Arabidopsis thaliana: one gene and its partner. The protein of the gene in region 2 interacts with the protein of the main gene of each other region in a pairwise test. Each region holds a gene or a part of one and is shown on either strand. Other genes may lie near its edges. The genes, in order: AT5G16590 and CLE26.

Region 1 (5,255 bases), on a different chromosome or scaffold from region 2:
TAACACAAGTCAGACTGTTAAGAGTAATCATTTAACAAATGTAGTTACGTTAGTTGATTATGATAAATTTGTGTAACTCTCAATTAATGATTACAAATTTTAACAAGAAACACCAAACATTTTAAGTGTAGATGTGGGACACCATTACAATTCCCATTGATATCGCTTAAACTTACAAACTAACCCAAAATCATCAACTAATTCTTAACTAACATTTTTTATTTACATCTCAACCGAACCAAAATAGATATGTTCTAAGTTATACATGAATGATGCACTCAACTAATTCTTTCACACATTAAGTCCGTAAATGATTTTCCGAAACCCTCTGCATATGTCTTGATCAATACAATTTATAAAGATAGTATATCTTTCTTTCTTTTTTTATTCTTAAAGAGAGTCGCTTGAAATTTACTTTAACGATTAAAGGAAAAATGAAGAAACTTTTGTTTTGATGGCTTCACCAAATTATCTGAATTTGAATTTGAAAGGTGGGGACTAACTTGACAGATTCAACTTAGAAACTTTAAATAGACCCGTTACCTAAAATTATATTTACTCCATGGAGTTTGTAATAAGTATTTAGATACTTAGTCTTAGTCACTAATACAAATAAAACTTGAAATTGAGGAAAGACAGAAAATATGTGTCGTTGACATGCATTTTATGATTGGTCGGAGAGAAGAATCAGACACAATATATCAACAAAATTTGTTTGACAACTTTTTATAATTTACCAACATATAATAATCAGGCTCCTTCTTTTTTGTTTCTGCCGTTTTATTTGCTAGTTCGTTAGAAAGAAAGAGTCAATAGTGGATAAGTTTCATGAAATAAAGTTAAAGTTACTATATTCAAATTGATGGGCCGACCAATAGAAAAGGAGAGATATAATTTGTTTCACACTCAATCAATTTGTATATAAAAAATTTCACTAAAAAAATTAAGAAACACAAAAAAAAAAAAAAAAACTTCAACGTAGATCTCTCAACTGACTTAAAGACCAAACTATATAAAGAAATTCAAATTTAGACCAAACAATTTTGAAATGATCAATTTAGACCCCATATATTGAAAAAGAAAAATACAATCAATCGGACAAAGGACCTGGTGAAGCAGGTGAACGAGAAACCTCCTCGATGAGTCTTGTGACTTCAGGCATTGTAGGACGACTATCTGGATACTGAGTCGTACAACTTATACCGATGTTTAAAAGCCTGATCATGTTCTCATTGCTGTCCGATTGATACCTTGTGAGCTCTGGATCAAACACATCTGATGGTGATTGTTGTTCAGTGATCGATGAAACCCATCTCGGTAAATCTACTCCTTCTTCGTGTAACTGCTGATGCGTTGGAGATTTCCCTGCAAATCAATACAAAAACCAATATATGAATCAACATTTTGACCAAAAATACGGTTTTCAAGATCTCTCTGTTTTTGTGTGTGTTGTTGTACCTGTGAGTAATTCAAGAATGAGAACACCGAAGCTGTAAACATCAGCCTTTTGGGAGATTTTACGAGCATCGGTTACTTCAGGAGCTCGGTAACCATCAATGCGGTTAGGTGTAGAAGTAGGGCTGATCATAGGTGCAAGACAGTAGTCAGAGACCTTAGCTTCAAAGGATTCTGACAATAGAATGTTAGATGATTTAATGTTGCCATGAGATGTTGTCGCGTCACGCGAATGGAGGTAGCTAATTGCTCTTGCGGCTCCTAATGCTATATTGGCTCTCGTTTCCCAATTCAATGGACTTCTGCCACTTCCTTTGTTCCCTACGAATTCATTCCAAAAAATTGGTTTTAAAAAATCTGTAATCACTACTAAAGAATCAAACAATAAACAGAGTTATTTATTTTGTTACCGTGTAACAGCGCAGACAAGCTTCCTCTAGACATGTATTCGAAAACAACGAGCTTTTCGTCGCGGCTGAAGTAATATGCAATCAATGTCACAAGATTGGCATGGCTTATGGATCCAAGAACCTGCAATTTCTCTCTGAACTCTTTCTCAGGAACCACGACATCTCTCAATCGTTTCACAGCCACCACTAATCCGTGATCGAAACTGGCCTTGTACGAAGATCCGAACGTTCCTTTACCAAGTACTTCCGCAGAAGCTTTCAGCAATCCATCAAGATCAAACTCGCCGAAAGATTTCACGAAAAATGTCAGATCTTTACTCACTGCAGCAGGGTTCTTTGATACACCATTTTCAGATGCACCATTAGCCACCACCGCAGGAGGACCATTCGATTCCTTAGCCACGGCTGCTGATGAGGTCGGAACAGGAGCTGCTTCGATGCTTCTCGATTGGACGACTTGCTCTTTCTTCTTCTTTCTACAGAGACAGAACACGATCAAGAAAAGCACGAGAAGCAAGACGAAACAGCCGATCACTATTCCGACAATAGCTCCGGCAGATAACTTGTCGCTTTTCCCTTTTCCTCCAGGCGTCACAGTACCGTTTCCAGTGCCATTGACAGGGCAAGCATCTAACGGCTTCCCACAGAGCAAATTGCCTAAAAAGGCGGTTTTGGGCATACCCGACAACGGATCCGGAATCGACCCGTTTAACTGATTGGATGAGACATTAAACTGTTGAAGCTTAATCTTAATCTCCGGGATTGGACCGGTGAGTTGATTATCCTGCAAGTAAAGAGTAGCTAACCGGGTTGCAGAATTGACATTATCCGGGATCCGACCCAAGAAATTATTCTGGGCGAGATTGATCCGAATAATGTTTGGTAGAGTGAAGAGAAACGAAGGAATCTCGCCGGAAAATGCGTTTCCTTGAAGATACAAGTAACGGAGAAGAGTTAGGTTTGCGAAATCCGGCGGGAGAGGACCGTTAAGAGCATTGAATCGGAATGATAAAGTTTCGAGCTTTGTAAGGTTTCCGATGGCGATTGGTAATGGACCCGATAAACCCACACCGGGTAATCGGAGTGCTGTGACACGACCCGACTCACATTGGACTCCTCCCCAAGTACACGGTGGTGCTGTTAGATTCCACAGCAATGGACGCCCATGAACACCGTCACGAAGTGCGATTAGAGCTCGTCGATCAGCTTCTAGATCTGATGTCACGGAAACGAGACATATAAAGAAGAAGAAGACTGAGAGACCTAAATTGGTCTTGTTCTTCATCTTCTTCTTACCCAAAGCTTAATCCTTTACAACAGTGAACGCCTCTCTCTCTCTCTCTGACTCGGAGATTGGTTTTTCCGAGATTTCCGACTACGTGTAGAACAGTGTTTGGAAAGAGAAAATGTCGGAAGAAAATCTTCTCACAGAAATTTCAGCTCTCTCTATCTGTCTCGACGGCTATGGGGAGATGATGAAGGAGGAGAGAGAGAGAGGCTATTAATTGCAGACTGCAGTGAATGGAAAGAAAAAGTTAATTGTTCAATTTTTTACCTTTTTAGTTTTTACAGTGAGATACAGAATCTTTTATTAATTTATTTAAATATTCCGTGCGATTATTTTTACAGCAAGAAGAAATGAGTTTGCTGTATATTCTTACATCTTTTTATTATTGTGTAATTTAGCATTTTCAGTAACAAATCATATGATTTACATATTTAAATGCTTTTGTTTCCATTTATGAAGGAATCTGGAGAGATTTGTAAGAAGTGTTATAAACATTACATAAGTAGATAAAAGATAATAATAAATACTTAATTAAAAGATACTTTAATGTGAAAATTAAACAAATACTATCCGTTTTTTTATTTTTAATGAATAATTTAAATTGTTTAGTTATGGTTTTATTATGTACGATGGAAACATGCAACTCTTGGGAAAGTATGTTATATTATTGAACGTCTCCTAAAAATGTCTGACTTAATAATACTGAACCACTACTAATTTAAATTCCTTTCGGATATGTGGAACATATTTACGTGTTAACTTTTTTTACAATATGAAATTCTTAGCTTTGTGTCTATCTAAGTCATCGGCAGAAAAAAAATGTGTTTGTACATATATAGAATAGGATTTGAGTAGTTTCAAAATTTTACTTCCTCTAAAAGTAAGAATATATTCTGTATTAAAATGGAATAACTCATATCGAAAATTTTTGGGAAGAAAATATACAAATTAGATTACCTCATTAGTATTTTAGTACTGAAGACATGATATTAAAGTAAAACAATTAGGATTTTGATGAGACCAACGTTTTTATTTCGGCCCAAACTATAATTGATATTCAGTTAAGAGTACATTGTAGAAAGTAAGCCCATTATTATTATTGATTACGGCCCATAAAATAGGCTTATACAAGAATGGGTTCTTAAATCAAACTATATATTTGAAGCCCCTTTTATTTCATGGGACAACAATATCAGTCTACTCTACTACTACTAGCATTTTTCTTTATTTGACGAAAGAGTATAGTACTTAACTAGCATAAATTGACGTTACCAAGTTTTTAAATGGTTCTTCTTATGTCATGCAAAAAACAATTTCGTAATGTATGCTTTTTTCCCACTTTCCATTCATATAATGATAAAATTTTATGAATTCATATTTTCCGTGTGAGCATTGTTCTGTGATGTTACTTTGCGTTTGCGTATTACCAATCATATTACACAATATCCCGTCGGTCCAACTTGTTATTACAATTACAAAACATACAAGTTGGGACTATATGATAAGAAATTAAGAAGATTAGGACTCTCCCACCAATGAAAATAAAGAGCTTTCGAAATTTTACAACAAGAAAGGCAAAAATAGTGACATATATACAAAATAGCCCAGAGTCACGGGAACATAATGACCCACCAAACAATTGTAATAATTGGCTGTTATCACAAACTTAATATTGTAGTACCTATCAAAATTCTAATTGGGTGGTGCGAATACAATAATAGCTCACAGACAGTTATGATATTTGGTTTAGTTCAAATTTTTTTTCGTTAAAGTATTATAAGATTCAAAGCTTTTTAGTCCTACTATATTATTTGGGAAATACATTTTAAATATAATCTTAATTTTTGTAAGTAATTACATAGGTATGCCATTAGAAATAAAATTTTAAAGAGTAAATTAATGTATCTCTTTAAGGATTAAAAAGTCAAATACTAATTTAATTAATTAAATTTAATTTAAAAACGAAATATATTATTAATTTTCAAAAATAATAACCAATCAAAATCAACATATAAGATTTGATATCTAAATTTTAATTAATTTGATTTAATTAGAAAAATGAAATACATTATTAATTTCCAAAAAAGTAACCAATTAAAATC
Region 2 (3,623 bases):
TGAAGGATAGTGTCGCACCGTCAAAACTAATTTGCAGTGAGTAGAAGTATTAAACCAAATCCAACAAGTGACGTTGCATGTAAAAACGGTTGTAAAAAGTTGATTTAGTTTATAAAAAACGTATCTTCAGCATACAGTTTATCGTTAAATTTAAAAGTAATTATATGTAAATTGCGAGCGATGATAGAAATAGATTATATAACGTATAGTAATCAACAACTCTTGTAAATTCTTCGAGCAAATTTTCTCGTTGGGCAATGTTGAAGCCTGCATAAAAATAGAGACCCGAAGGATTCTTATAGACGGGAGTGGTCACCACGTTAGCAATGGAGATTGTTTACAAAGTTACCTTTTTTTTAGTATTTTAATCTCGTTAATGATAAAATGAATATGTAAGTGCCATTTTTTCAGTTACTTCGACTAGAAGCTAGTGAGTAACACACAAAGGCATAAGATTCTCAGGACAAATATACATTTAACTTTTTTAGGAAAGGTAATTTATTTTGAAGTGGGATTCATGTAAAATCTTAACAAATTTGATCGATGAGATGAATTATGCACTTATGCTTCATTGGCCCTATATTTATATAAACTATGGGATAAATTATGGCTGCTATGTGACAGTGATATAAAACATTATTCCTAAGGAACAATTTTTAATCATGGGTCTAGTCAATCTTGTCATTCTCATCTTTATTTCTGAAAACTTTAAAATGTGCAAATCTTAAGATACATAAAGAATGGCTAATGTTATTAACGCATAATTAATATGTTTTGTTAATGTACAAGATTGCTAATATCTCGACAGATCAACATATATTATTCGATGTTTTGCATAGGGGAGCTCTTATAATGATCTATTTTATTATAAATGGTACTAGACTACTAAATACATTAAAAAATAAAACGGTGAGGAATATAATAAGCTTGATCGGAACTAGGTAGATACTATATATTATGTATTGTGCCAAATTCGACATAAGGACATGCGTATACAATTAGTTATTATAGATATAGAAATTTGTGAGAATACGTGACGATAACTGTTTATGTTTATAAAATATGGTTATAAATTAGGTATGCATGGAATGGTTATGTGCTTAGCTTTACTTTTTGGATACGAAAGAGATGAATTGTACGTGAGAAAAGTACTAGAGGGAACCCTTTGTCACGTGTACTTCTAATAATCTAATATCATATGAGTACATTAATTTTAGTGATTAAGTAAATCTGCATGGAAATACACATTTGATATATATAAAGTGAAGGCTGGTAAATAAATTCCCTTCATGTCACGTTTCGGACCAGCTGTTCCATATTTCATTGTCTCTCTTTTCTCATATTTTTGGTCCTTAACAAAAAAACAAAAAGAGAATATTGCGTTTAATGTATATAATTATCCCTGCTATATATATTTATATTATTTGGGATATAATGAGGCGACATAAAAATACGGATTCATGCTTAAAGATAACACTAGTTATAAAATCTCACAGAAATATATAAAGATTCATAGCAGAAAATAATTTCTCTCTCTCTCTCTCTCTATCCTATAATGTTTCGAGTAAAGTTTGTAAAACATATTGAACAGAATAAAAACCATCGAACATATAAAGAACACCAACCATCCTAACTCAACAAAGTGATAAGACTCTCTTTCTTTCTCTCTCTCTCTCCATCTCCCTCTCTTTCTCTTGCTTTTGTTGTCACTCATCTTTGTTCTCTATTATAGTTTCCATTCAAGAAAATCGAATATAAACCCTACTACTTCGATCGATGTTCATATCTGTCTTTATTTCAACCAACCAACGAAGATAGGATAAAAACATATCCACAAAGGCTAGAAACCATGCGAAATAACCATTCCCTTCGTCTCCAATTGTGGTTCCGTACACTATTTACTGTTGGTGTAGTCACTCTTCTTATGATCGATGCGTTTGTATTACAAAACAACAAGGAGGACGACAAAACAAAAGAGATTACTACAGCTGTGAACATGAACAACTCCGATGCCAAGGAAATACAACAAGAGCTTGAAGATGGTTCAAGGAACGACGATCTTAGCTACGTAGCAAGCAAAAGAAAAGTGCCTCGTGGACCTGATCCTATACACAACAGGTTCTTACTACTTTCTCGTTTTATTTTATCACTTTTAACTAATCCTTACCCCTACCTGCATATATGTGTCTTGGATGTTTCTGTATGATATTTCATTAATATATAATAATATATGACATAAACCCGTGTGTGGTGCCACATTCATATTAGTTAGGTCTAAGTTCAAGGGCTATAAGCCTAAAATTCTCTACAACCCCATATTAGATTCCGTTATGTTCAAATTATACGCGTGGACCACTTGGTCACTTGCATTTCGACCATGGTGTTGTTTAACATGTGGTTTTTACCAAGGACATGCTCTTAGTATGGTCTAGATATAAATTCGATATTGAGATTAATGAATGACATCTAGAAATGACTATATTAGATGAAATCAAGCAAGCTAACTCGTTGATTGTCTATATGTTTATGCATGTTATAATAAGTTTTGTTTCGGGTCACCATAAATATACTTCTAGCACAATTTTACTAAAAAAACAAACACTTTGTTTCTTTTAACTAACTCAGATTCGGTGAGACATATCACAGAAGCTCGCAAAAGGCTGTCTGCTAGCTTTATTCAGTCTTTACGTTTAACAATCTATTTTTAATTATTCACTATAAGATGGCTTCTTTTAAAAACTTTCTTTTTTCCTTTATGGAAGCTTTAGCCCTTTGAACACTCCCTTTTTTTTCTTAGTTATATAGGTAACCCACTTATGATCACAGTTAATTCCATGTAGATCGTATTAAAGTAGTCTATTGACTAAATCACTAAAATATCAATTAATGAATTAATGTTGTATGATTTGTTATCGTTTATACGAAAGTAAAGAAAAACAAGAAAACATGACTTGGATTAAGTAACTCTATGTTCTGTCTTAATACAGGAGAGCAGGGAATTCAAGACGACCACCAGGAAGAGCATAAGTACGGTTAAAGCTTGGGTAAGAAGCAGAAAGAGAGAGAGAAGTATAATTGTTGGCAAATTAATATAGGTCTTGTATTGCTGCTAGATTCTCTTTTCCTTTCATTTGGGATCGAATCTTTTAAATATGCGCAAAATATTTGTGACCCTACAATTCTGTTTTTTTTTTTTTTAAATGTTTGTTTTGTTCCTATAGTGAAGAAATATTGAGCTAGTTAGGGGAGGTTTTAAAAAAATGAAGACACTGATTATTAAAAGGATTTCAAGAAAGAAAAGAAGTATACGTACATGCAATGCAATCCTGTTTTCTCACGCATTGCACGACTTATATTGGGATTATTTCTAATTTGATCCATCATCAAATAACGTTTAGATGCTTTATTTCCTTACTCACATTGTTTATTGGGTACTTGCACTAAATGATCATTAACATTTATTAAGTTAGGTAAATAATTGTGTACTCCTTTTATGTGCAAAAACACAAAATGGGTACTATTTTATTACTAACATGCTTTCTTATCAAATAGCAGTACCCTATGTTGTTCTAAATAACATGCTAATTCAATTCAGATTTGGCAGACAAAATAACATGGTATTT

The links.
Region 1: the proteins of CLE26 (region 2) and AT5G16590 interact in a protein complementation assay, tested with the Arabidopsis thaliana proteins (one large-scale study listed by BioGRID).

What each region holds. Positions count from the first base shown.
Region 1 is NC_003076.8:5,429,757-5,435,011, reverse strand, and holds AT5G16590 (Leucine-rich repeat protein kinase family protein), read right to left. Parts: upstream 3,429-5,255; 5' UTR 3,151-3,428; coding exon 1,866-3,150; intron 1,777-1,865; coding exon 1,459-1,776; intron 1,366-1,458; coding exon 1,091-1,365; 3' UTR 826-1,090; downstream 1-825. UniProt on the Arabidopsis thaliana protein: Might be involved in early recognition of growth promoting fungi. Appears to be specific for P.indica.
Region 2 is NC_003070.9:26,352,483-26,356,105, reverse strand, and holds CLE26 (CLAVATA3/ESR-RELATED 26), read left to right. Parts: upstream 1-1,849; coding exon 1,850-2,206; 3' UTR 2,207-2,987; downstream 2,988-3,623.